2 linked regions of the Nothobranchius furzeri genome follow. The protein of the gene in region 1 interacts with the protein of each later gene in a pairwise test. Links are inferred from orthologs where the notes say so. Each region holds a gene or a part of one and is shown on either strand. Other genes may lie near its edges. The genes, in order: rassf5 and rassf2b.

Region 1 (16,229 bases):
TCTCAATCCAAAATGACTTCCTATCTCTGGCTCCTTCAAAGGCAGTTCGAAATCTGGGTGTTGTGATTGATGAACACCTGACCTTTAAAGATCATGTTGCCTCTGTTGCTCATCATGCCGCTTTGCGCTGTATAACATACGAAAGATCAGACCATACCTAACACAACATGCCACCCAGCTCCTGGTGCAATCTACTGTCATCTCCCGCCTCGATTACTGCAATGCCCTTCTACCTGGTCTTCCAGGCTGTACTGTGAGACCTCATCAAATGGTCTAGAACACAGCGGCGCATCTGGTCTTCAATCAGCCAAAAAGAGCACACGTCACCCCCCTGTTCATTGAGCTCCACTGGCTACCGCTAGCTGCACACATCTAATTCAAATTGCTAACACTAGCATACAAAGTCTGAGATGGTACGGCTCCCATCTACCTGAATCCTCTTGCAAAGGCTTACGTCTCGGCCCGGCCCGGCCGCTCCGGTCATCACAGGATCGTCGGCTAGCAGTGTCTACACCACGCTCAGGACAATCCAGACTCTTCTCATGCATCGTTCCACAAATGTGGAATGACCTTCCAAGCACTACCAGAACAGGTGCTTCCTTTTCAATTTTCAAGAAACTCCTGAAGACCCTGCTCTTCAGAGAGCATCTTCTTAACTAGCACCCTCCCTGCACCTGTCCCCCCTCTCTACTGTCCACTCCTTGTTCCCTCCTCTCCATGATTCATCATGCTGCCTCACTGCCACCTATGACTGACTGGAAATTGTTTGTTGTTGTTGTTGTTGCTGCTGTTATTGTTGTTGTTAGCCTCAAGGGCAACATGCCGATTATAACTTGTTAGTCGCTTTGGACAAAAGCGTCTGCTAAATACATTAACATAAACATATAATCCTGCCATTTTCGTCCCCCAGCCCTCAAAATTCTGCTTCCCAAAACAGGAGCACCAGAGCTCTTTTTCCAAAGAAAACAACTCACAAGTGCATTCATCATTACTAGAAACTACAGCAAATGCACTGAAAAAACAAGAGGAGACCTTTAAGTAGTGCAGTCAGACTGTCAGGCATGGCTCAGGTAGGCTGATTAATGCTGAGTGAACAGAGAGCAAGTTTGAGAACCTGAGCGAATAAACCAGACAGCCACAATCTGTTATTGCTCCCAAAAATGAATTCTAATGTAAACATCTAGATGAGGTGGCTTTTGGCTGTGTCTAAAGAGTCTTCTGCAGATATGGTTCTTTAATAGCACAGATGTAAAGATGAATTTACACCATGTTTTTTTTTTTTTTTTTTTTTTTTACTTCCTGAAGCTTTCACTGATGTTGTCGGTCCACAAAAACATTCTCACGAAGCAAACTAATTTTACCCAGCTGTGTTTGTTTGCAGACAGTAAATAAATCAAGATTTGCAGGATGTTTGTTTGGTTCGTTTAGGGAGCATCTGTAGCTGCACAGATGGAGCTCTAAAGAGAGGACGCAAGACTCTTCTGATGGAGATTAGCAGCGTCAAACGTAAAACACAAACACACACAGATTTGGGAGGGTGTGTGTGTGTGTAATCTTTTATGTATTTCTGGGATTAGACATGTTCAGTTCTGTCTAGTGGGTCAGAAGAATATTATCCTGGTGAGGATGGAAAGACTGAGTTAAAGGGTGTTCTTTCTTCCAAGGTTTACACAAAGGAGAGCAGATATAACTGCTCCAAATCAGCTGTGACAGGATCAGACGTGCTAAAGCCCCCAAAGACCCCCAAAGCTGCTTTAAACTCCTCCTTAGACCTGCGCAGCCTGCTTTAGGTTCATTAGAGACTGTGTTAATACATTTGCTCTCATGTTAAAGCTACCTAACCCCTCTATCCCAAACCAGACAGCCCCTCTCTATCTGCTGCCATACAGACATCCTCTGTGACCCGAGAAAGTCTCCTAATCAGTGTTTTCCACACTCTTCTGTCTGCCTCACACCCACTGTCTCAGAAATAAAAACAACCACCCATATCACCTATCTGGTCATTCCTGTCTTAGTACAGGTTGTGATTGCACACACAGGAACATCTCAGGTTACATTAAAATGAAGCTGATGAGAGAAAACATTCTGGCTTCATATAAAGACAATAATGAACAGAAATGAGAGGCAGTGTCCTTGAGTTGCTAAATATTTTCTTTCTGCAGCCGCTGCTGTTGATCTCTGCAGCAGTGGATGTTAAAGGGACCATATCGTGGAAAATCTACTTTTTTGTAGCTTTTTGCCATGTGATATTGTTATTTCCTCATGAAAACAATCCCCAAACCCATTTTTGACTGCATTCATGTATTTTCCTGTATCAGCTGCAAATTTGGAGTTTTCCTTAACTTCTGCATCGGGGGCAAAACACCACCATAAAGACTGTGCATCCTGTCTACTTAGATGCATGCAATGGCCAGCACAGGATGTCTGTGTTAGGCAGCTATTGTTTTATAAGATACATTATAGTCTAGTGGTTAAGATGCTGGTGATTTTTTTTTCTTTTGGGGTGGGACCATCGACATATACATATATGGACAATGGGTTTCCATAGACTCCAATAACACGTTTTTGAAGAAAAATGGGAGGTAGCTACCACCGCCATTTTGACCGTGTCACAGGTTCCGTCAAGCCCAGACAATTCCACAAAAGGGAAGAGAGGTGGAGCTGAGGGTGGGGCTGTAAGGCTGGGATCAACTGATGACACCCAGTCGAACTAGCTACAAGCTAACCTGAAGCTAACCCAAAGCTAACGCAGAGGTGGGAGCTAAGCTAACGGAGGTAGCAACCTAGCTACAACCGGAGTTAACTGTGCACAACACCAGAGCTTCTGAGTCAGAGATACGCCGGGCTGACCGCTGGGTAAAACCGGGTGGAACACAGAGGTCACCCGAGAGCTCAACAAGCCGGCAGCCGCACAGCAGACAAGCGCCGCTGCGATCTGAGATGCGCAGAGCTGCCGCTGGGGAGAACCGGGTGGAAAGGTTTCCATCCCAGAGCTCCACAAGCCGTCAGCCCGCGCAGCACACAGAAGCCGCGATCAGAGATGCGCCGAGCTGCGGGGAGGGGAGAACCGGGTGGAAAACATCTGTCTCCCGAGAGCTCCACAAGCCGATAGTCGGAACCCAGCTCCACCAACACGTTATATTTCAACCCATTTTCTAAAGTGCAGCATTATGTTAAATGCACTGGGTTTTACCCTATTACATTTAAATTTCATGGTTAAACAGTACATGTTAAAATCTAAGCTCAGCTCGGCAGTGACCTAAAATACATAAATATAATTTTACTTACTGAAATAAATGAAGTGGAGACTCCTTGGATGCTCTATTAGTGCAATTAATGCCACAACAAGTCATTTTGTCCAACAATTGCACAAAAAACATCCAAAAAAGGATACGCAAACGGCACAACTAATGGTCTAAGTTGAGAGACTGAAAATGACCGAACAGTTTTCAGGCGAGGCTGAGGCTCAGACTGAAGCCTTTCCCCGGAGCTAGCTCTGTGGTCACGTGGGTCGGATGCTCATTAATTGTACAGAATTTTAAGCTTTTAATACACTTAAACAGAAGAGTGAGAAAAAAATTCACCCCCCTCAGAGTTGTCATGAGTGTAAACTAGATCATTTAAACCAAAAACATGTTTTGGTACCAGGCTGTAAACGTGTTTATTTATGCTGTGAAATTGGTATTTTTAACATGGGAGTCAATGAGGATTAGCTCACTTCTGACACCAGCCCCCAGCGGATGAGGGTGGAACTGCAATTTATTTCACTTTCGCATTGGACTCAATTTCTGTCCCGCATTGTGGGGGCTTGGGTGGGACACACTTAGATGTTAGATGTGCTAACCACATATCGCCACTGGGGGTGCCAAATTATCATTCTTATGAATCGACAATGGCACCAAATTAAAAAGACTGAAAAAAGCAAAATACACATATCAAGAAAAACACACATTAGCAACAATGAAACATGATCCCATCCACAGAAGCAGCTATTTAAATTATAGCTTAGATTGTCCTCTTTACACTAATATGAGTACCATTACTCTACCTGCAAAACTCATAGAGCAACGCAAAGCAAACAAAACTAATGTCATGAAGTCAAAAGCATAAATTCAATGTTACATTTGCTGGTTTTTAGTCATAATAATCTGTGTTATTGTAAAAAAAAAAACTACTTGGTTCCTGTCATCCAATGTCCCAACGTCACACTAAGGTGATTCATGACGGTCTTGTGCTTTTTTTTTAACTGCTTTAGAGGGTTTACACATCTCTGATGCAGCATTCCATAATTTTCTGGTTTTTCATAATTAAAAAACTAGGGATGGACAGTATATCGGCATCAATATCGGTATCGGTCGATGTTAGTCATTTTTTTAACATATTGGTATCGGTTCGATAAATAAAACCGGGCCGATATTAACAACCAATATTTTTTCCATCTCGTCTCCATTTGATTGCCTGTTTCAGAGGGTGGGTGGGGGTGGGGGTGATGTGTAATTGTTTAGTCATGTCAACAGTGAATGAAATCTTCTCAGAAACGTAAATGTGTGTGGTGTGTGTACATAATAACATAAATTCAGTTTTAATAATTTTCATTCTATACAAAATCTGCTGATTTTAGAAGCATTGATGTCAGTATATTGGTATCGATATCGGCCATAACAGTGATCTTTATATCGGTTATCGGTATCGGCCCAAAAATGTCATCTCGGTGCATCATTAAAAAAAACTACACAAGGTGTACTCAGCTGTTCTAAAACAAAGAACAGTGAACAAAAAAAAAGATGAAGTGTGGAGAGCTTCCGGTTCAGGGTGAACATCCTGAACTGAGCTGAGCTGAGACTCCACCCGGTTTTGGTCACAAAACCTTTGCACCCAAAGGTTCTCCTATTCTTTGTAGTGGGGGGGATCCAGTGCACATGCACCAGTTAGCGTAGATCAGTGGTAGCGTTTGCTGCGCCAGAAAGTAACAGGAAATATGTCACAAGATGATTCGGTGAAATAACATTTTTAAACTACACTTAAATGCAGATTATACACAGCACTTATAGTCTGTATGATGTATCGATCACTTAGTTTATTTTTCATGTTTTTTTTTTTGTATCCATTTGTGATTCCTATCTTCTTCTTGTAAGACTAGTGGAGTGGCATCTTAGCGCCCCCCAATGGACCATTTCACCATTGATGAAAACCCATTTAACCTACCCCCGTTGAGGTCATTAGCATCTATTGTTTGGGAGTAGTATTGATTAGATGCTAGAGAGTGCGATCTAGTCCTATACTGAAACTTGGAATTAGGTTCAGAGCTGCATTATAGCTGCTGGAAAGGTGAAACCTGAGTCCTCCTCTTTTATTTAATGTCGGCTTTTCTCATTTGACATAGAAGTCTTCCTGTACTCCTCTCTCAAACCATCTGTCTTCTCTGTTCTGAATGTGTACCTTTCTCACCTTCAGTAGCATCAGTATTCCAGTCAGAATTGATTAAACTCCACCAGGAGTTGCGTCAGCAAATGGCAAAACAAGATGAAAGGCAGGTGCCTTTGACCAGCTGACTATCAAGGCCAAAACAACAGCAAGCTTGACTAACTTGTAGATGCGTTTTGTCGGAGTGGGCGGAGTTTCACTGAAACAAACGTTTAAATTCAGGCAGAATGACATCTCACAGTAATATATTCATATATTTTCCTACCTTTGCTTTCAACTATTTAAAATAGCATGATATGGCTCCTTTAATACAACCATCACAAAAAGATCTTTACATGCGTCTCCTCCATTGGACTGGTGGGAGGGACTTTTTCATCCGTCACTCTGCAACATCGTCCTGGATCTCTCTCTGTCTGGGAAATTTGGGTTATTGAATCTTTTGTGATCAAATGTGGGTACTCCAACCCATGTTTCAAAACAAACAAGTGGCAACCCCTCGTCTGTTTTCTTTCTTGACTAATGTGGACGATAGAGATTGAAGACTATTTTCATGCATTTGAAACTCAGAGTGACCAGTCGTTATTTGAATAGATCAAGTAATGTACTTTCTCTGTCAGCCTCCCTCTGAAGGTCATTCTTGTCCAAGTCTCTAGATGAGTTGGCTATTCTTTTGAGTTTTTTACATCGAAACCCCCGACATCTCCAGAAGTTGGATGTTCTAAATTAATCAACTTCTTCATCTGACAGCTTGTGAAGCAACGTACTTTCCAGAGAGGAGACAAGGGAAACTCCCCCAGCTGGTTCCAGTGAACTGTAAAGGTCCAACACTCCATTCAACAACATTAGACAGTTAAACCTGATTTTATCTCCACACTTTCTCTTTCACTCTTTCTTGTGTCGACATGCCCGAAGCTTGGCTCAAGTTTTACTTTTAACATTCAAAACGAATCCCACAACTCATCGACCTAAACAGACCGTAAATCCATGCTAATTAATTTCTTGAAAGGTGGCAAGATGAGCGTAAATCTGCCCCAAAGGTGGAGGCAATAAAAGTGTCTGTCCACATTATAGATGGATGGAAAGACAAGGACAGGAAAGGAGTTTCTCTTTTCCCATTCCCATGGTGGCTTCCTTTGCCTCTGTTTATCTGCAGTGACCTCTAAACTGTCCTGAGCGGAGCATCCCTTATCTGAAGCCTCTCCTGTTCTTGACACATCCCACCCTGTCATGGAGGTGATTCACCCTTTCCCTCTCACTCTGGATCTCTGCTAACCACTCAGTCAGACACACATCATTAACAGGAGCTTCACCACTAGCTCCCTCTGCCTTTACCCCTCTTTACCACAGAGTTGGAAAAGCTACAGTTTTTTTAATGATTTGAATAAAGACATACAGTAATCTAATCTTTTATTAATGTAGCATTCATTTCCAGGAGATCAGGTGTTTTTAGGGAGGCACTGGCCATCAAATTCCTCATTACCATGGTGACGGGAATGTAAGTAATGCATCAGTGCCTCCCATTCTTTCCAGAGCCACACTAAAATCAGCCAAAAATTACAAATATAATAAAAAACATCCCAGGAAAAACAATTCCAGAAGATCCTGTACAGCTCGCTCTCCTTCTGTTAGCATTAACCAGTGATTAGGTACTTCATTTCAGACTGGGTTTGAGTCTGAATTCAAGTCACGTTTGTGAGTTGACTCAAGGAGCATGGCGATGACTTGCACTTGGACCTGAACTTGGACTTAAGCTTGGACTCATACCCTAACATGTGGAAATGTGGCGCGACTTGTTTGAAGTATCCAACATAACAAGGGGAGTCCAGACGTGTGGTGCAATTTGCTTTAATAGATTTCTTCTCAGAGTGAGGAGAAATCTGCATCAGATGTATGAAATGCAGGAGGACAATAGAAGACAAGACTAGGACATCTGAATGTCCCTACATTACCACCAAGCTAACAAAGCAGCATGCAGCAAAATAATATAACATGCTTAACTGAAAACAATAATCAACATGCCACCTGTCCACTTAGGGTATGTGACATGTAACCAGAGTTGTCCAGTAATCTGACCTAAGCTAATGTTAGCATCGTTAGCATGCTAGAATTGACAATAGCAATTTCACTTAATTTTCTGGGTGTAAATGTAGCAAGTGGAGGTTAAACTGGAAATCTTTTGGGACTTGGATGTGAATTGTGAGACCAAGGGACTTGACTGAAACTCAACTTGGATTTCACTTGGACTCTAAAACTAGGGACTCAAGTGTGACTTGGACTCGAGATATGGCGACTTGACTACAAGACTGGCGTTAACATGCCACCAGCTGGGGAGAAAGGAGATCAGTGCGAAAGTCTGTGACCACAACTAGCTCTGAGAGGCGTAATGGGGAACTAGCTGGAAAATGTAGAACAACAGACTGGAACTAATTTGGTTTATTCCTGTATCTCTAAAGCAGGTGAGAGCTGAACCTGCCAACCTTTTTCCAGCTTTGAGTGTTTAAGTGGAGTCGATCTATTGCTGTGGGACATTATGTTTGTCAGCAGCCATTAGCTCCTTGATGTATCCATTATCGACCTTCTAATGCACCTGTACTTGAAGAGGCTTGAACAGAAAAGGCAGCTACATTAATGAGATCGCAATTTATAGATCTCCTAATACATTAATGGTCATTTAGCCGTGGTATCTCATTTTGTTTATTTGTGTATCTTCAGTGTGCAGGAATAAGTAATTTATGACTGATTTCTGCCACTAGATGGAGCCATTGTCTTAATTTCTAACTCACCCTCTTGCAAGTCACAAACCATCTTTATAGTCTCTTAGAAGGATAACTGTAGTGTATTTGTTATGATAAATACATTATATTGTTGTGTTTTGTTATGTAGACTGCAGCTACACCTGCCACCTGGAGTGTAAGAGTCATGTCCAGCTTGACTGCTACCAGAGGAACAGAGAGCCACAGGAAAGCCCACATCCTAGAAGCCCCTGCTCCTCCACGGCTCCTCCAATCAAGGTGAGTCCTCTGGAGACTGAGCATTTATTTAGAGAAAAGAATGGAAGTGAAGACCTTCCACACACTGAACTCAGTCCACTCATGTGCTATTTTAGTTGCTTCTGCCTCCACCCTCCTCCTCCTCATGTTTAGTCTTTCCATCATCTCTCTCTGCTGCAGGTTTATTTAGTTATTACCAGATCATAATACCCTGACTTCCTTGTGTGTTCCCAAATAGAGGAAAACCAATTAGGTTAATCTGTGATTTCTCCTGGGACCGTCATGGCAACGCATCTGTGGCTCAGCAATTTCTCTCTCTCTCTCTCTCTCTCTCTCTCTCTCTCTCTCTCTCTCTCTCTCTCTCTCTCTCTCTCTCTCTCTCTCTATCTCTCCATTCTCTGGAAACAACATTAAGACTGATTCGTAATTCTGCAAATTAACCACAATAATCTAGTGTTTCGTAAAGATGCATCATCTCCAAAAACCTACGCTTGGTTGAACCAACCTGCTTGAGCCTCTGAGGTATGGCTGCTTAGGTCAAATTTTGAAATGACTCGTCAGCGAAGACCTAGTTCACATGGCAGACATTTAACATTTGCGTACAAGAAACCACACACGTTATGACAAAAAAATCATGGAAGTGACAGTTTTGGTCATACTGTGTCCAGCCAAACGACAAAATCTGCACACAAATTGCGGTCAGACAGGAAATCTCACTAAAACCTCTCGATATCAAGCGTGAATTAAGAGTAAATAAACTTCAACGGGAAGCATGCTTGTTTGTCTTTAACACTGAGCAAACTACAGTTCAACATGTTCAATATCCCCAATTTATAATGTTAGCAGTCGCGGCGTGCTTCCCAGCAGACCAGATCGCTCCTAACACACCACACACGGCAGGATTATCTGAACTCCTAAAGACTGTTGGATGGGGAGAATCCTGGTGATTATCTTGTCATGTGACCCGGTCTTTACATGTTCAATGTGAGCCCAATAACGAATAAATTGACTGAGCCACATTCATATGTGTGCGGCGGCCATATTTAATGAGGTGAATTCCAAATATTATTCAGATTTAGATACAATGATTATTCTCTGACATATTCATTAGTACCTTGTGAATCATGAGATATTTTGCTAACAGACACACAAAACCATCACTTCCTGCCTTTTGTACTTTAGCAGTAAAACAACCCTGGTTTTATTACTTAATGAAAGTTAAAGAACCAACAAATAAAAGCTGGATGCTTACAAAATGAAACAGACAGCGAGAGGACTCTGTAATGAAAATAAACATGATGTATATGTTTTAAAGTGAACTCTTAGGTAAAGAACTTGTGTTCAGGGATGTAAAAAGACTCAAATGAATCTTATATTTGTGCAAACTGATCTCTGTGAGCAAAATCAGTGTTGACCTAATTACACACGAATCAGAATGCACGCCGTCTGTCCTGCAGGTATCTGAGCTCAGTGATTGAGGCTTGTATTCGTGCTCGCTGTGGCTTGGTTCATACTGTCTACCACAGCAGCTCTGCAGACCAAAGAGAAAAACATGACAGGTTATTTCCTGCAGTTCTGTTTTTCTGCCTTCGCTGTAATCTTTCAGTAGATGTGTGTGTGAGTGTTTCCCTCTATTCTTCTTTTGCTTACTGTGTATCTCAGCAAAAATTGATCCCCAAACTGCACAAGTCGATGCACCAGGCAGGTTTTATTGACCTGAAACCAGCAGGCACGGTCGTTTCCTATGCATGCGTGTTGATGTGTAGCACCCCGCCATGCATCGATAGGGCCTAGGAGAAAATCCGGAGATGGTCACTGAAGGCAACAGATTACAAGATCTTCCAAATCTAAGTTGTCCCTTTTTTCTGTGCCTGTGCAGATTATTTGACTCATTTCACAAAAGCAGCTTGTGCCATCGTTGTCATGGATGGCTGGGATGCTAGCTGCTTTAGGACAGGGGGAGGTGGCTGCCAGAGTGGAAGGGCAGATCATGTGGTCAATAAAAGGTCAGAGGTCGCTGTTAACCCACCTCTTCACCAATATCATGATAATTTTGAGTTGTTCTAGATTGTGTTTAATATACTAACCTCTGGTTCTGGTTTCCAGTCAAGCATGGCGTGCAGCCATGCCTCCCTCACCCCACTGCTGCTTCCTGTCTACATATTCAGTGTAAACGGCATCTTTGATCGGCTTCATGTCTCTAACTCATCGACGTTTCTCTTTCTGTTTATTCACGCCTCTCCCTCTCTCTTGCTTTCGTCTTCTGTGGGAGGAAGTGGCCGTGCTCTGCAGGGTGCAGTTGCCTGCAGGAAGAGAGACAGAGAGAGGAGGGAGAAGAGGGAGAAGGGGGAGGGTACTCTCAGCCTGATAACACACTCAACCACAGATGGTTGTGAGAGAGTGAGGGAGAGAAAACGGTTGCAGAGGCAGAGAGGAGCTTGTGTGGGAGGAATCACTTTCTTCTCGTCAAAGCAATGGAGAGAGGAGTCTTGTCGCTGCAGACAAAATAAACTCAGCCACTGCGTGCTGTTGACTCCAGACGTGGACGGATGCCCTAACAAACCAACGCTGCTTCTGAAACCTGGACTTGAGTTTATTCCTTTGCAGCCGTGCCGCTGGACCAAAGGAGGATGTGGTTTTGCATGAATGCCTTTACTTGTTTTGTGAGTAGAACAGGTGCTCTCAGGTGTGCAGGGCTAACCTAAAACCAGCCTGTAAACTGACTCCGCCACACTGACGTCTGCCTGCATGAAGGACGACCAAACTATGTGTGAATAAGTGCAAGTGAGCTGCAGACAGCCAGGTCCTCCTCGGCCTGTTTTTGACACCAGCATCAGAGCATTCTCGAGCACACGCTCATCAGGAGGAAGTGACACGTCTGTGCTCGTTCTCATATTTCCTGGTCTCCTCTCCAGTGGCACTCAAAGAGCCGATTTCAAGCCAATCTCACCTGCTTCACCCCTCGCAGGTGGAACTTTCTGAATGGCGTCGGCGGAGGAGCACTAAACCGCTTGTGGATGAGCAAAGGAAACTTTGTGTCACTTCATTCCGGGACAACCCATCAGACGCTTGCTCCAACCTGTCAACGCGCTGCCTGGGCGCTGTTCTGGTGCTATTCTGGTGCTGGTAGCTGTCCTCGTGGACTTCTCCATGACTGTCAGTACGGTGCTGACCACCTCCATGACCGGCAGTAACAGCATGAGCAGCGGGTACTGCAGCCTGGATGAGGAGAGCGAGGACTTCACCTTCTTTACCGCTAAGACCTCGTTCTTCCGCAAACCCAAGCATGCAGCCAAGGTAAAGATCAGAATTGCACCGATGGAGGATTTCATGACAACAAGGAAGCCTTAGATTGATGACAAGTGAATGTTTCAGTGAGAACAGGAGAGAAGCTGACATTTATTTCATAAAAAATTTAAAATAAGTAACATGTAGCTCGAAAGCAGAAGTCAGGAGAGGAAGTGGTGATGTTTGAGCAGGCCTTTAGGTGTGTGTGTGTGTGTGTGTGTGTGTGTGTGTGTGTGTGTGTGTGTGTGTGTGTGTGTGTGTGTGTGTGTGTGTGTGTGTGTGTGTTGTGAGAATGTAGGAGGAGGTTACCGTCAGACATCTGCATTGTGTAACTGGTTCATCAGCCTTAGTGCTTCAAGCTGCTCGTTTATCAATCAGACTCGCATAGATTCACTAGGACCAGATCACTTTGTGTGTGTGTGTGTGTGTGTGTGTGTGTGTGTGTGTGTGTGTGTGTGTGTGTGTGTGTGTGTGTGTGTGTGTGTGTGTGTGTGTGTGTGTGTAGGGGGTTGTTCACCTCTAAATGCAGCCTGCAGAGATAATGTGTGTGTTGGTTAATGATCTTAACTGCCAGACTCCATATTGGTTTCCTTTCTACATTGAGTGTGTGTGTGCATGCATGTGCACATGTGTGCAAGTGTGTGTGTGTGCACGCACGTGCATATTTGCAAAAATTGGTGTCTGCTTACCCATACTTTGTAGTTACCATAGCAACTCCTGGTTTGTTTTGCATTTTCAAAGATCTCTCTGATCTGCATTGACACATAATTTTGTAAAACACCACTAGCGGCCCTTTTAGATTGCTGATTGTTTACCAGAGAGGTTCAGTGCTTAACGGCTGATTGACTGTCAGTAAAACGGTGCAGTGGAAGGACAGGTGACGGCGGTCCTTTTGATGCGTGACATCCTTGTGCTGTCCCTGTCCTGCTCTCCCTACAGAGTCGGACTCGGAAAAGCTCTGATCTCTGAATAATTGACCAGCTGTGTTGTCAGCATGCAGAGTTAGGGTTGCTGCCATGCTGACACAAAGGGGTATAGAGGTTAGGCAGTGTGGCCTGTCAGCATCCAGGCTGATTACCCTGAAGCCAGAGACAATGGTGGGAGCTAAACATCTGACCTGTTAGCTAGAGAGTAGGAGTGTTTCAGCTGCTTCAGAAGGAAGCGTATTCTAATCAGCTCTCTGTTGTGGCTTTGTGTTTGAATATGATAAAGAGAAATTCAAATCTCTTCTCTGTGACTGGAAGAAGCATCACTGTAGTCTGTAAAACTCTAAATAAACGTGTTGCAGGGTCTTTAACTCACCGACAAAAGTGATCACATCCATCCAGGCAGTGGAGTTCAGATCCTCTGTTCTTCATGAATTATTTCCAGAGCTGAGCCTTTTGCTCCAGATTAGCCAGCTGGAGAGAGCACGTGTATGTGTGTTGTGTAGAGTGAATGAATTACATCCATGTCGACTTGAAACAAATGCAGAGTCGCATGTCATTTTTGGCTCGCAGTACACATCAGGCCAGATGTTGATGTCTGGTGCTACTTAGATGGACTAGCTCCTAGCTTAATATTTGTGTGGCACAATTTAAAATAAAGGTTATCCTGACAATCTGACACTTTTACTTAGTTGTCAAATAAGTTGGATTATTTTTTGTTTTAGTAATAAAAAGTTATTGGAGGTAGAAGAATGCTGGACCATTGAAATAATTAGCTTTAAATGTAAAAAAAAATAGTCACACTTAGGGGTATTAGCATAAATCTGGTGATACGATATATACCACGATACAGGAGAGACGATACAATATATCACGAATGTATTGCGATACACTAAGCCAGATGATATTTTTTAGACTGAATTTATTGTAGGAAATGTTCATAAAGAGTCCAAACTTAAACATAACATATTTAACATGAAATATCTGAACCATAATAGAGAATAAAATCCATTGCACACTGCTGCCAACTAGAGGTCAGAGTTTGAATTGCACAAAAAGAAAAAAAATGTGACGGGAAAAATAAAACAAAAATATGAGGATGTTTAAAAAAAAATTAAAATTATTCCAAGTCATTATTTTACCTTATTCGTCTCGTCTTCCTCCGCTTATCCGGGTCCGGGTCGCGGGGGCAGCATCCCAACTAGGGAGCTCCAGGCCGTCCTCTCCCCGGCCTTGTCCACCAGCTCCTCCGGCAGGACCCCAAGGCGTTCCCGGACCAGATTGGAGATATAACTTCTCCAACGTGTCCTGGGTCGACCCGGGGGCCTTCTGCCGGCAGGACATGCCCGAAACACCTCCCCAGGGAGGCGTCCAGGAGGCATCCTGACCAGATGCCCAAACCACCTCAACTGGCTCCTTTCGATCCGGAGGAGCAGCGGTTCTACTCCGAGTCCCTCCCGAATGTCCGAGCTCCTCACCCTATCTCTAAGGCTGAGCCCGGCCACCCTACGGAGGAAACTCATTTCGGCCGCTTGTATCCGCGATCTCGTTCTTTCGGTCATTACCCAAAGCTCATGACCATAGGTGAGGATTGGGACGTAGATCGACCGGTAAATCGAGAGCCTGGCTTTCTGGCTCAGCTCCCTCTTCCCCACGACAGATCGGCTCAGCGTCCGCATCACTGCAGACGCCGAACCAATCCGCCTGTCGATCTCCCGATCCCTCCTACCCTCACTCGTGAACAAGACCCCGAGATACTTAAACTCCTCCACTTGAGGTAGGACCTCTCCCCCGACCCGGAGGTGGCAAGCCACCCTTTTCCGGTCGAGAACCATGGTCTCAGATTTGGAGGTGCTGATCCTCATCCCAGCCGCTTCACATTCGGCCGCGAACCTACCCAGCAAGAGCTGAAGGTCAGAGCTGGATGAAGCTAGGAGGACCACATCATCCGCAAAAAGCAGAGACGAGATTCTCCTGCCACCAAACTCGACACACTCCACACCACGGCTGCGTCTAGAAATTCTGTCCATAAAAGTGATGAATGACCGTGTCCCCAGGGGCACCCTGTGGGGGACGCTCCAGGAGTATGGGGTGGGTGGCTTTCTGTTAAGGGCCATTCAGTCCCTTTACCAGAGGAGCGTGAGTTTGGTCCGCATAGCCGGTAGTAAGTCGGACCTGTTCCCAGTGAGGGTTGGACTCCGCCAGGGCTGCCCTTTGTCACCGGTTCTGTTCATCACTTTATTTTACCTTATTAATATTGTTATTCTAATGTTATTATTTTCATTGTTTTGTAGCTTCTAGTGCCTCAAATTATTTAAAAGCTGTAAAATAAAATATATTTCATTGCTTTTTTCTTGCTGTGGAAATTACAAAATATAAAAAAACACATCTGGTTTATTTTTCCTATATTAATACAGTATGTTTTGTCCAACCTTCCAGTGTCAAAGTTTTGCAGTAGTCCAGATTCTGATCTGTCACTTTTTTATTTTTGTCCAAAAGACAGTAAATAAATAGCTCCTTTTAGGTTTCTTGGACACACAAAAAATAAGCTCTTTTTTTATTATTATTTTCCATGGAACATTATGTATCAATGTATTTTCATGGCCATGATTGACTTCAGTTCTCACCTACAAAAATTCAAGAAACTGTATCAGTTCAAATCAAACATACGTGTTGTTATAATGTCTAGTCAGTTCAAGCCAAAATAAATAACAGGGAATGGCACCACGGTGGTTCAGTTGGTAGCTCTGTGGCCAAGCAGCAAGAAGGTTACAGGTTTGAATCCCAGTTGCATCCTTTCAGCATAAAGTTATTATGTTCTCCTCATGCATGCGTGGGTTCTCCGGGTTCCTCCCACAGAACAAAAACATGCAGGTTAGGTAATGTGTAGTTATTTATCTCTGAGTGCTCCTGTGATAAACTAGAGACCTGTCTGACTCGGTTTTAATGTGGCAGCCTGAGATCATCAGTGGTCCCCATCTGGCCACCCTTTTCTGGACGTGCCCCTGCAACAGCACTTCCTAGACTACATTCCATTCCATTACATTCCATTTATTTGATAAAGCACATTTAAAAACAGCATGTGAGCTGACCAAAGTGCTGTACAGGGGTAAAAACATATAGGGTTAAAAGAATAATATAAAAGAATGAAACAACTAGAGCAAAACACAAAGAACCATGAGAAGTCAATAAAATCAGTAAACGAACAGTGTAAATAAACCATCGATAAAATAGCTAGGTAGTAAAAGCAAGAGAATAAAAATAAGTCTTTAAGTGGGACTTAAAAACCCCAATGGAGGAGGAGATTCTGATATTCAGTGGGAGGTCATTCCAAAATTTTGGAGCGCAGACAGAAAAAGCTCGTTCACCACGGGTTTTGCAGCGTTGACGGGGAATCTGTAGTAGGTGTAGGTCACCTGAACGGAGAGTCCTGCCTGGCACATAAGGAGTGAGTAACTCGGATATGTAGGGTGGTGCTAAGCCATTCAGCGCCTTAAAAACAAACAATAAAATTTTTAAACGTATGCGGTAGTGCACAGGAAGCCAGTGAAGTCTTGATAAAATTGGAGTGATGTGCTGACGACGGCCAGTATTGGTCAGA
Region 2 (13,318 bases), on another chromosome or scaffold:
GCCTCAGGCCCCAAAAGATATTTAGCAATCCCTCGACGATCAGCTCTCCTTCTTCCTGTTTGGAGGCAGAAACTATGATCAATGAACACACACCGCGGACTGTCACTACCCCTTTGGACTGGATGGTGTAATGCGTAGTGTGTGTTTTACTGCAAAGGACTGAGTGAAAATGTAAAAAGGTCAAACGGATTAAAGACTGAGAACATTGGGATCCTTTAGCAGAAATTTAGACACGAAAGTAACCGACAGCAGTGATTACTCACTTCTCTGTGCCGCAGCTGCAGATTCTGTCCCTCATAATAAAGGTTGTAGGTTTTAAGATGTGAGAGAACCGTTGCCCTGAGGACAGAAAAACTGAATCACTGCTGGAGAAAATGTTGTTTACAAAGAACCGGGCCAGTCGGAGTCAGGCAAACATTTTTACAGAACATAATAAATGAGGTTCAATTGATTTGCTGTAGTTAGAATTAAATTAAAGCTTTATTGCAATATAACAATTCTGCATGAACATGGAAACCTTTTCTTTTCTCAGCCATGCGCGTGTTAATCTCTTAATTCAATTCAATAAAAAAAAAAACTTTAATCATCCCCGAGGGGCAATTGTTTAGGCGTTTAGGGTCTGATTTTATAATAAACCAGGCAGTAAAACACCAGTTCTCAGTGGTCCTAAACTCAGAACCACATCTACCTTGTTGATGAATAAGGGCAGCTTGGGGTCTCTAATGTAGCGCGCCAAAACGTCTGTGCCCTCTCTAACCTGCTTCTCCGGAGGGAGCCTAAAGCTTGGTTTATGCTTGACGCGTCCGCGAGGTCCGCGCAGCAAAGTTGCATCATTTTAACAACCACGCCCCTCCACCGCGCACCTAGGAAATTTTCTAACCACGCGGACGGTCGGACGCGGAAAAACATGGCGGACTGGCAAGAACTAGTATGGCAGAGGTTCGTAAATACAGACATTTGTATGATTCAGCTCTCAGAGATCACCGTGATCAACATGTTGTTAATAATTCTTGGAGAGAAATAGCTCGCACTGTCGGAAAAGACGAGGACGCTGTTAAAAATGCTGGAATGCCGTGTTGTAAACAGTAATTTCTACTTCTACTATGGTGTAGTGTTGGATGCATGCCGTAGAGCTCCATGCTGCCCCCTACAGTTTGGGAGAATATTGGCTCACCGCAGAGACGAGCCGCACGAACCATAAACGCTGCGAGTTGTTAAGCATGTTCCATCTGCAAGCCGCATCACCAAGCGGGAAGTGAATGCGTCAAGCATAAACCAAGCTTAATAGCCTCTACACACTAGCTTCAGCTCCACTCTGCCTGGACCGAGTTGGGAGTTTTCTCATTCAGGCAGCCTTGAATTTTCCCGAGCGCAACCGGACGTCTTTTCAGCCTTCGTCGCCTAGAGCCAAACAGGGCCAACACACCCACTGCTGACTGATAGGCTTGCTCAAAAGCACGCCTACCCACGGGAGCTTCCCGCTTTTGTTTAATAATGGACCCGCCGCAGACTTCTCCGCGCTCTTTTTCCCCGCCCACGTGCTCGGAGATGCGCTCATGACATCACATCCGTATTCCTAAGGCAGTGTGGAACAAACGCGGCCGGGCTGGGCTTTAGTCTCAAACATTCACGGACATCATGTGTGAAACCCATGACACATATCAAACTGGATCAGAGAATTACTTTTAATGGCTCATAGATTCCCATTCATTTTTTGGGCAGTTGGGAACCCATGGTCCAGAAAAACATGGGCGTGGCTTAGGATTCCTATGCAAATTAGTAAAGGCCACAGAAACGGTTCGTTCTGAGAAGAGCGGGTTTAACACGTCATAAACAATGACTTACATTTGCATGTCTGAACTATTTTCAATGCTGGGAAAATGTAAATGTTGGTGGAGGTAAAGCTAACTGCAAAACAACTCTGGCCTGAGCCACCGCTAATGCTAGCTCGAGCTACTGCCAACATCCTTGTTGGATTTGAAGAAAATGACAAAGAGGAATGTCAGAGCAAACGTGTTCTGGGATGTACTGGGAATATCCAAACTATGAATGAATACCAGATAGATCCACAGCTTTCCTATCGAGTTATCTGGATACTGTGCAGCTGCAAAGAGTTTCTAACTTCAGGCTGCTAAAGCCGGGCGTACACTGTGTAACTTTTTCACTTTTATGAACCGATTTTCAACTCATGCGAGAATCCAGAAGATCAGGGCGAGTTTTGTGCTGAGCGGTCGTGTCGTGTACGAGAGGCGATTAACACCACGTGACCAGCTGCTGATCAGCAATGGTGAGCTCGCACGGACTTCTGGTGTTTGATATTTTGCTCGTCCCTCGTGAGGGTATCGCACTGTTGAAGCGGCGCTGCGAGCAGCTGTGACCCAAAAAGTACCAGAACCGCTCACGGCGCATGCACAGTCATGCATCAACGCCGCTCCCCGCTATTTCCCTAATAACACACATTGTTCATTTTTGTTTCTACACGTTTTTTTACTCTCAAAGTCTGTTCTAGAAAGCTTGTTTGTCGTGTTCATGTCAAATTAAACTGATCACAACACACAGATTTACTTTCTTTATTTCGTTTTCCTCATCCAAGCCCCATAAATCCCCGTGTGTCCTCCTGCAGCACTCCCGAAGGACAACAGATAAGACAAAAAAGTCTGACGTGTTGTGTAAAAACTGCTATTTTTAGCATATTTTTAGGTCCGACGTGTTGCTACCAGACGTACAGTGGGAGCGCATGGCTCGTGAGATCTGCCCTGCGAGGAAGTCGTACAGTTTGAGCTGAAGCTGAGTGCTACGAGTGAAAAAGTCGCACAGTGTCCGCCCGGCTTTAACCAGCATACTAGCACACAGCTCTGGGGCAAACCTTACTTTGAGTTTTAGGGCTTTGTTACGGGGTTGTGTTTGACCATTTCCAGAGCTCCTGGGTTATTTTGAGCCCCAACAAAGTTTCATTTGCTCTATAGAAGCTTGAAGAACAATTTCAAACATTTTTGTTTTGTAGCAAAAAAATAAATAAATAAATAAAAAGTTAAACCGCACAAATCAACAACAGCACACACACACACACACACGCAAAGCGTGAAAATGAATCCGTACTTGCTGATAAACTTGTTCTCTCCGATCTGCACCCCGTCCCGTATTTCATCCATTCTCAGCCAGCATGAGAGGAGCTGAGAGACAAAGAAGTAACAGAGTTAGTGTTCATACAACCGATTAGGTCTCATGACTCCTCATGACGAGTTCAGGCACAGAAAGGACAGTCTGAAGAGGAGTAACAGGACAGCAGGAAGAGGAGGAGAATGTTAAGCTCCAGACCGTAAACAATAACAGATCATATCTGCTTTCCTGTAAACCGTTTTCTGCCCCAAAATCCCCCAAAACAAAGCATCTCTAAGTAAGCTAAACATTTGCAGTTGCTTTAGTCTTATCTGTCCCATCAACATATAAACACATAATTCACACATGCAGCTGTTAAAACTGGCACTCAGCCTTCCCACTGTGAGGATTCAATGAGTGTTTTGTGTCCATTTGGCACGACAGAAGGTTTCGGAAAGACCTAAAACAGGTGTGGGACACACGAGCCACCTGCTGCTTAAACATTTATCTTTGACCACGTGACTGATAGTACACATAAACATTCATCCGTCATGTCTATAGCTATTAAACGAGCAAAAACAAAGCTAAACGCGTTTGAATTCAAATAATGTGTGTTTGAATTTCAGGAAGTAAAGCTGGTCACTGGGTCTGTGTGTCAGCGAATAAGGTTACATTTTAAAAAAGGAAATATTGAAGTAAAAATTATTTTTTTGTAGTTTTTAAAAACAGAAACACAAATATGAGACGAATACACGTTTAATTCCTCCTTACCGTAGTGAAGCTCGTAGATTTCTGCTGAATCACCAGAGAGGCGGAGTTTCCTGTGTGGAGAGAGAGTGAAGGGTTAAACAGGTTGACGGTTCGTATCCTCAGGTAGTGGGAATTGGTATAAAACGGCCCACGAGGGTCTTTTCTTCCGAGCGTGGCACTAACGGGGAGGAGAGTGTGTAAAAGGAAGTGCTCCCCTTCCGTCAAACAGCTTCCTCCTTTACTCAGTAAGTCACACAGGAAACTGACACTTCTTATACAGCCTAAAACTTCCTTAAACGACCATGGAGTAAGAGACATGATTAGATTCAGTGCTGATAAACAACCCAAGGCTGTCAATCTCTGAAATAAATGGACACGTTAAATATTAATTATCAATCAGCCAAGTCTCATGCCAAGAAGACCCATCAATATTTCAGCACCAATATTAGTCGTGTGAAGCTCCAACAGCTCACCGCTGACCTACACAATGGCAGTCATTAGGCTTTAATATCACGTATCAGGTAATGCTGACAAAGGCAGCTTCACTAAAAGACTATTAATGATGCCAATGGTCTGTGACAGAGGTGGTATCACAGGGCATCTTTACTGACATCTGATAACAAAAACAGGTTCAGACCAGAGTAGCTGCCGGCCTGGAGATAATGATCTAATCTGGATTAACTGATGCACTTGGTGTTGTTTTCATTTTGCACCCGGCTGAAGGGATCACAATTTTGTCAAACCACGGGACAAAGCTTTAAAATCTAAATGATCAGGAGTTAGTTTTTGTTGTTTTGTAACAGAGCACACCACTTTGACTTTAGGGATTAGCACCTGGCAGAAACAACGTGTAATCTAGAGAATAATCTGACTCAGTTTAACTGACCCGCTCTTAAATAGGTGTTGTTTTGTTGTGGTTGTTTTATCCCAGATGTTGAGCCAAAAGCACCAAGAGTCATGGCCAGCTTTAGCTTTTAACCCTCTCAGGCTCTAAATAAGTTTTGATAAAAGGACGAACATTTAAGTCCTTCAGGGGTGCTTCTGAGTTGAAAATGCTCATGAAGGACATACAGGGAGTAACCAGGTGGGTTTTAACTCTTGCAAATCTGCAACGCCCGGCTCCAGAGGGTTACTAACCAGAACTCCTCCTCTTTATAAGGATGATTTCTATTTTACACGAAGACCGAAGTAACAGAGCCAACATCGGCATATGAATACAAACAGATGAACTCATGCCTGACCCAGTTCTGTTTCACATCAGACTGCTGTTCTGGAAACCAGTCCAAATGCAACTAACTCCCCAGAGTACCGATACTCGCTTTACGCCTCGTTCTCCTCAGTCTGCTCCGTTGTTCAGGCTCATAACCACTCAGTATACGAACGTCCAATTCATTCAAGTCATCTGGAAACTGTGACCCATGCCTTTGTTACCTGCAGGCTGGATTATTGCAACTCGCTATATTGCCGGGGCTTAGGCAAGCTCCAGTAGCTCGGTTGTTAACATCTACCGGGAGGTCTGAACATATTACACCAGTCCTACGTGCCTTGCATTGGCTCCCTGTCTCCTATCGCATCAGGTTTAAGGTTATCCTGTTTGTGTTTAAGGCGTTAAACTCAGGGGCACCTAAATACCTTTCTGACATCATCCACCGACATGTCCCGGTGCGTTCCCTTAGGTCAGCTGACCAGAGACTATTAACCGTGCCCAGGTACAGCCTGAAGTCTCGTGGGAGTCGTGCCTTTTCAGCGCTCGGACCAAGTCTTTGGAATGAGCTGCAAGCCGACGTAAAGCAGGCCAAATCACTGGAGACCTTTAAAAGCCGACTAAAAACACATCTGTTCTCGCTGGCGTTTGGACACTGAAGTTGGGATTGCGTGGGCAGCATCACTTTGAATGTGTCTGGATCTGATTCTAGAAAAAGGACTGATATGGACTGAGAACTTGTACTCGGGATTTCTTATTGTATTTTAAATGGTTATATGTCTGTTTTATTGTTGTGATTTTTATTGGTGTACAGCGCTTTGTCTGTCCGTTTTGGGCATGTGAAAGCACTTTATAAATAAAGTTGATTTGATCCTGCCATGATCGTCTCATTCAGCTTCACCCAACACTCCAACTTCCTGACTTCTTTTCCCCGAATACCTTTCATTCACATACACGTTGCCTTTTTTCTGCCCTCTTGCCCCATCGGCTCCAAACCTCCTCTGTCAACGTCTTACCCCTTGCTGAGACGGTCCCTGAATAGCCCCAAACCTCCCCCTGTCCTCTCCCAAAACCCACCATCCTGCTTTCCAGCCTCTGCATCACTACTGCTTGTATTGTCACTATTGCCATAGCAACACCAAGAAAAAAGTCAGCTCTGACAACTGGCCTACAATGCTGGGCCAAAAATAGTGTTTCTGCTTCTGGAGTTGTCAAAAACCCTGCAAGGCCGAATCCAAAACGGCTTCAGGTTCCAGCCAGATCTGCTGGTCACTCTTCACTAAATGCAAAGCTGCAAATTCCTGTAAAAATAGGTAGCATTGTTTTAATTGTATAGTTATTTATAACAAATCTTTGGAGCTTTGTAAGACAGAACAAGCTGCCCTATAGATCACTGAAAACCTGCAAAAGGTCTAATTTTGATCTAACTTCCAATGATAGTGAACCTAAGCTCTGGTTTTCTTTGGGAATCTAATGTTTTTCTAGCCTGGCAAGCCAGACTAAATAAATTCAACTTTAACTAATAAAATTTGCACAGGAATAATTTGGTTCACTAGGCTACTACTCACCATCACTAAAATGCTTCAGAAACACCAAAAACCAAAGAAGAAAACTTGGATTAACCGAATGTGCACTTCCTCTGTGTGGCTGCCATGTGTGCTGAGAGGAATCTTAAACATCTCCTGCTTATGCAACCCGTTTTCTTCAGACATGGTTAAATGAACTCCGTTATTAGACCCAATCAGGGCTGGACTGGGACAAAAATTCAGCCCGGGCATTTTGACTGGAGACCGGCCCATCACCTGTTTTTTTTGGAAAAGACATTAAGCCTTATGCTGTTTCTGACACACACCAACGTACACTTTCTTATTGGTAGTATTTATGTATCAATCTAATAAACGTAAACCTACACCATCCTTCCTATCCTGGTATTCTAAAAAGTAGGGTAGGGGGTAACTGATTATTTTTAAAATGATTATTCTGACGATTATTTTATCGAAAAGTCGACTATTCTAATGACTATTTAGATGATTAATCTAGCGATTACTTTTCTATTGCACAATTAATAAAAACCAAAAAATTCTCAAATAAATTCCTCCAAAAAATTGATAAGTTGTTACTGTAAGAGAATAAACACTACAGGCCTTCCATTTTGTATAACACTGCTTTTATTGTGTTGCGGTTGGTTATGTTCTGGTGACGTGTAGAACTTGGGAGTGCAGGCTGCTGCCTGAGAGGTGGTTGGAGACGGAGTGTCTCCATGCTGCTTTGTTTTGTTCACTTATGTGCATGAGGCAAGTGGTGTTACGACCCTTCCTGGGGAGTCACGTGTTTCTCCTATTTTAACTGTAAATCCTTCTAGCTGTTATATTTATAACAAGAAACAGATATTCGGACAGAATATTTTCACGTTTATTCGAATATGATTGTGGAACACACCCAGCATCATAATACATGAAGTAATATTTATGCCAATTTAAGCCTTTATGGGTGACCAGGACTCTGTGTTTATGAATGTGGAAGACACCCAGCATCCTGTGATGGCACTAATAACATCAAGAGATAATAAATAAGGTAATATTTAGGTCAATTTAACCCTTTACACGTGACCAGGACACTGTAATCAATTTTTGGCAAGGGAAATGATCATTTGTTGCCATTTTTGAGGTGTTTATGAATGTGAAAGACACCGGCATCCTGTGATGGCACTAATAACATCAAGAGATAATAAATAAAGTAATATTTAGGTAAATGTAACCCTTTACAGGTGACCAGGACACTGTAATCAATTTTTGGCAAGGGAAATTATCTTCTTTTTTTTTTTTTTTTTTTTTTTTGCCATTTTTGGGGTGTTTTTGATGACACAGTAGGCAGTATGAGTACAGTAACGTCAACAGATAATACATAAAACCCTTATTTGGTCAATTTTAGCCTCCATGAAAATCTTAGCGATTCAATCACTTTTTGGCAAGTAAAATGCCATTTTAGTTGTCTACAATTAAATCATCAATAAAGAATTTAAAGATATTTTGAGGCATTTCTTATAGGTAAACTGGAGGGTGTAGTCTATTTGGCAAGTGACAATCTTGATTTTATGTGCTGAAGTGCTTTTATCTTGTTACTTTTAAATAGAGCAACGTAATGTAAAGATAGCAACCTACACAGTGTCATTGTAAAGCCAAAGCTTGATCATTTTAAATACTTTTTTTCAAGTAAAAATGTGCCCCAAACTAGTTAACTGTGGCTCCATGTCAAGTGGACTAAAGAAGGGAAGGGGAAAAAATTAAATCGCTGGAGAATTGTTTATTTCCATTTATACAACGTTTACATTCAATACAGGGTGCCATTTTACATTGTTTATTTATTTTTTTAGTATCAAGGCTGTAACATAAAGAAAGCCAGTTCTTACCACAAAGTTTGTGGCACAAACCATCTTTCAATCGCAAATATTGCAAAAAGGATTAATATATCCTCATTGTGAACGTTTAAGACAAATAGCAACACTTAAAACAACTTCCGAACTGGAAAAACTAATGCGGCAAGGTGGAGAAACGAGTGCCCGGGCGGGATTCGACCCCAGACTCCCGGGTGGAAGTCAAACACTCTAACCAGTCAGCCAAAGGAACATCTCTTTGGACAAGTAGCCAGGGCTCATCATCAATCGGGATGTTGTGGATGCTCACACTGCCACATCTTCCTCCCTCTTTCCACAAGCACGTCCTCGTGCTCCCGCGCAGGGTGCCACAAACACTGCCACACTAATATCCGCGATAAACATCTGTTTAAGTACCGGAAGAGGTTATCTTTGCTTTCTGAATGTCCATATTGCTAGATATGCTGAGTTTTAGGGCGAAATCCTGGGGAATTTTGTCTAGAAATGCAATTGCCTAACCGTGCGCGATCCCGCGGTGGCTAATCATTTTTTGGCAGCGAGTCAATTTATGGCACAACACCGGCTCGGGTTTCTCCTTCTCCTCCCTCTTTTCTTCTCCAACCTGTCGCTGGGCTGAGGCTCCATCACTTCCTTAATTGATTTTACTTGAACCTTCACTACCAAACAACTGTGAGATTTTAACACATGTGCCAGCATCAGCCTGAAGGGCCAGTTTCTTTTTTAGTCGAATTTTCTCCGCTTCTCCTTTCCGTTTTTTGTTCTCCATTTTGTTAAGCTCGTCTGTCTGTTTACTGAGATTCACAAACAACTGGCGGGTGCATCAGACCTCTGGCTATTGGTCCAGCCCAGAGTGTATTATTACCAATTGGCCAATCCACCAACTTTTACGAGGCGTCGCGTGGGGCGGCGCGGGCAAGTTGTCCGCAACAACTAGAGGCCAGGAAAAAAAAAAAAAAAAACAGACACCGGCCCATAAAAGATGAAAGGGTCGGCCCAGCGGGCAGTTGCCCGCTATGCCCTATGGTCAGTCCAGCGCTGGACCCAATGCGTCAAACAGAAGCAGTTTCGGTCGTTTTATGTTCAAGGTTTGTTCTGAAAAAGCTAAACTACGTAAAAATGTGTCATTGAGGCTTTTTTTTTGGTGATAAGCGATTTAAATTTAACCTATTCTTCTACCTAAACAAATAAACCACCCACTCAAGAGCATTTCGTTACACCTTCCTAAAGAAATCATCACAATAACCCGAGTTAGCTACAGCGACCCTTGTGATTGTATCACGCCGACTTTCGGGGACCCTTTAACGGCTAACCTACCGTGTTTCTCCTCGGTTCCGCTGCTCCTTCCTCCTCGGTTGTCCGTTAACGGTTGACTCGTGCTTCTACCGTTGGAAACAAACAGCAGGGGCGACTAGTGCGGCTGGGAGTCCAGAAGAACTGGTAGGAGGAGAAGTGGTCCATCTGCTGTGGCAGAGCTCTCAGAAGCGTCGCGCGAGACCGACGTGCCTTTGTTGTTCACGTCGCGCGCAGAAATGAATGAAAACGTGACAACAATGGGGGAAAAACGAGGACGCGCGCGCACACAGTTCATTGTTATTAAAAGGACCTCGTCTTCATTGCGAATGAGAAAAATGCTCAAGTTTAAGCAAACTAGTCAAACATGTTCGTTCCTGTTTTACAAGACGTTTATTTGTATTCATTTACTCAGACCAGTAGGTAATTTCTTAAGCCTTGGTTCGATATAATTGAAACCACGTCACTTTCACAATAAAAAAGACAACTTTTCCAAACTCAATAAAAAAGGCGATCCCCTCTTCTAAAACAACGATTTAACTGTGACCGACAGCATTCTTTGGAAAGCTGATCTCCGTTTCACCAACCACACCCAGGCCTGATTACTAGATCTAAAAGACCCATTTCTATAGAACCTGACTGACACGTGACAAAAGAAGAGATAACAAGCAGACTTGAAATATTACGATCTAAAATAAAAGGAATAAACAAAAAATAAGTTCTCACTGACGGGGTGAAATAAATAAATACGGTATCGTTATCGGTAAGTTAACCGATACCAGTGCAGTTGCTTGAAAGTGGCTTCACTGTAACTTATTTCTGTTCACCTTATATTTTAGTTTTGTGACCTTTTCTATTATTAAATTTAATGTTTTATTTACCTTAGTCTTTTTCTGTTGAAAGCAGAGAAGAAAACAAAACCTGTATTCCAATTCATTGCATTTTTTAAAATTTACTAAGCAAACATTTACTAAAATAACCAGTGATGGGTTATTTGATGAGGCGATGGGAGTTGTTTACCAACGAATTAAACTCTGCATGTGCAATATCGACCCCTGCTGGCCAATTGGTGGCATTACTAAACTGAGAGAAAAGACACAAGACAGAATTATTTAACTTCTTATTAAATATTTTTAAGAACAAAGAATAAATCATTTTATTGTTACAATTAGTTTACACAATTCATCTTCCTGAATATTCTGTAAACATTAAATATACATGTTTTTGATTTCTTTACATCTACTTTTCTCAACTTGCTCTTTTGATTTATACTGGTAATGTGTAACATGAGCAGAAAACAATGTTAAAGAGTAAAAAAATACAATATGTTAAGGTCCTAAGAGGCAGAAAGATGTCATTAAACCACAAACTTCAAATCGATATATACTTTTAAATAAAAAGTATAACAAGATGGTGCACTTTTCAGCATGATTTAAGATTAAAAGTAGATTTTTATTACAAATATCTGCTTGCAAAAACATAAAAATGATGTATAAAAACAAACACTGAAAACGATAAAACTCTTTACACAGAAATATAATCATCAGGTAGAGCCCCCTTCAAAATAACTGAAAGGGATCAATATCTTTGTGTTTTAACCTAATGGTTACCTTCTTAAGAGCCATCAGTTCAACTGCCTCTAATGTAAATCGGGCCAGAAAAAGAAGACTTTACTGTAAATGGGCTACTTCTGTAACAACTCCTAAAATAGGAAATACATTTTTTTTAGCGTTGGGGGTCAAAAACAGCAGGAAGCAGTTTTTAGGCACATCACGACTAATATTCATCTTTATGTGACAAGGCAGGTTCACTCAGCTGCCAATAACAAGGCTCTTAACAAGGTGACCAGCAGGTGTCGTCCTCCTGCATCCAGACGCATGAAGAGAGAAGGGTTAGGGTTAGGAGAGCCAATTGGAGGGGAGACAAAAAAAAAAAAGGTCTTAATGTGCAGGATATTGTGTGTTCATGTTATGTAAAAAACATCCATGTTGTTCTCAGAGAAAACTTAGTAGGTTACAACTGTTCTGACTGCTGCTTCATCAGCAGAAGCTTCTGCTGCAATCTACACAGTGAGCAAAAACATAAACAACATCAGCGCGTTGCGTCGATAACTCCACTAGAGCTGCTTCAGCTCAGCACAGAAATCCGATGAGGTTTTAGATTTATTCACCTCTCTGACAACATCTTTTTCCTCATCTCTGCACTTTTCATGCTCGTTTCTTCCATCTTATCCAGCATAAATTAGTCACTGCTAATATTTGATGACGCGGATGTTTAAACCCACCATTTACACAGATTCAGTCCCCTGATTAAAGCATCGCCACCTTAGTGCATTTCCAAAGCCCTGGACTGCATTTCAACAATAGAATGTTGTTTTTCCAGCCAGCTGTTGATGCACATAGAGGACCTCAACAGTTTTCTTTTCTTAATGTGAAAGATTAAATCTAAGCGTTTTATTAACAAGTTTATTTCCTTTTGATTTAATTCCACAGTCATTTGTACCACAAACCCTTGTCGACTCATTAAAAAGCCCACTTTTGAGAATTATTCACAAATTTAGACAAAATTCAGCAAACTTTAGCAAAGAATGAGTGATTAGGGTCATTTTTCCTGTGGCGGATGAACTAAAATCAACTTAAAAAAAACCTGTTCTCTTTACTAAATTATATTACTGTATTATTTGAACAGTTAAAATAAAAAATTAAACTTTTGTTTAAATTTAGTGGCCCATGAGTACCTACATTGTGTTGAAAGGTTTGGACATCCCTGCTTTATCTGGATGAATATAAAGTCGTCACAAAAGCAGCTGATAGGATTGGGGTTGATTCATTGAAATTATTAATTATTACTTTATGTCATAACATATACTGCCCCAAACGTAAATTAATAATAATTTTTTACCATACTAATTTTATATTTAAAAATTTCCTTTAGAAATGTCTAAAATTTAATTTATTCCAACATTTCACACAAATTATTCATCACTCTGGCAAACAGCAAAAGTCTATGTAAAAGTTGGATTCCTGCATTAATTTTCAGAGACTAAATCATGTGAAACATGTAATTTAATGCTGGATAAAAGTGAAGAAACTTAAGTTTTATGAGAACAAATCATTCAAGTTTATCAAATAACTGAACAACATCAATAATCAGACACTAAATAGAAAAAAAGCACATAAATCCTGCAAAGCAAATAACCAAAAACAAGAAAATAAAGCTACACGTGACACCATTATTACCAACACACCTGGGTCCAGGTAAATAAAAACTACCCACTCGGACCCTGATGTTCTTGTGCAAGTAGCTGCAGTAAAAGGCCCTTACTCTAAAATCTGAACCAACTAGTTCGTTACACATCTAAAAGTGTTTTTTCTTCTGCCTTTAAATACGATTTATCAAAAATGGAATGAAATGAAGCCCTCTAATATTCACTAAAACAGGTCAATCATTGCAGGGCATGAACATGTAAACTGATAAATAATCTGAAACACTGCGTTGCATTAAACGTGCAGCAAGAAACCGCTCAATTTCTTTTTTTATATAAATAAATAAATAGCTTTAACAGAAGAAAACTAGGGAAG

Evidence for each region.
Region 2: the proteins of rassf5 (region 1) and rassf2b interact in binary tests that used the Homo sapiens proteins (3 or more experiments, as listed by UniProt). The link is inferred for Nothobranchius furzeri from reciprocal best matches to the Homo sapiens genes RASSF5 and RASSF2.

What each region holds. Positions count from the first base shown.
Region 1 is NC_091743.1:51,035,956-51,052,184, reverse strand, and holds part of rassf5 (ras association domain-containing protein 5), read left to right. Parts: intron 1-8,307; coding exon 8,308-8,435; intron 8,436-11,428; exon of another isoform or gene 11,429-11,564; coding exon of another isoform or gene 11,565-11,711; intron 11,712-16,229. UniProt on the Homo sapiens protein: Potential tumor suppressor. Seems to be involved in lymphocyte adhesion by linking RAP1A activation upon T-cell receptor or chemokine stimulation to integrin activation.
Region 2 is NC_091757.1:55,227,775-55,241,092, reverse strand, and holds the start of rassf2b (ras association domain-containing protein 2b), read right to left. Parts: upstream 4,230-13,318; 5' UTR 4,168-4,229; coding exon 3,871-4,167; intron 3,174-3,870; coding exon 3,100-3,173; intron 340-3,099; coding exon 264-339; intron 56-263; coding exon 1-55. UniProt on the Homo sapiens protein: Potential tumor suppressor. Acts as a KRAS-specific effector protein. May promote apoptosis and cell cycle arrest. Stabilizes STK3/MST2 by protecting it from proteasomal degradation.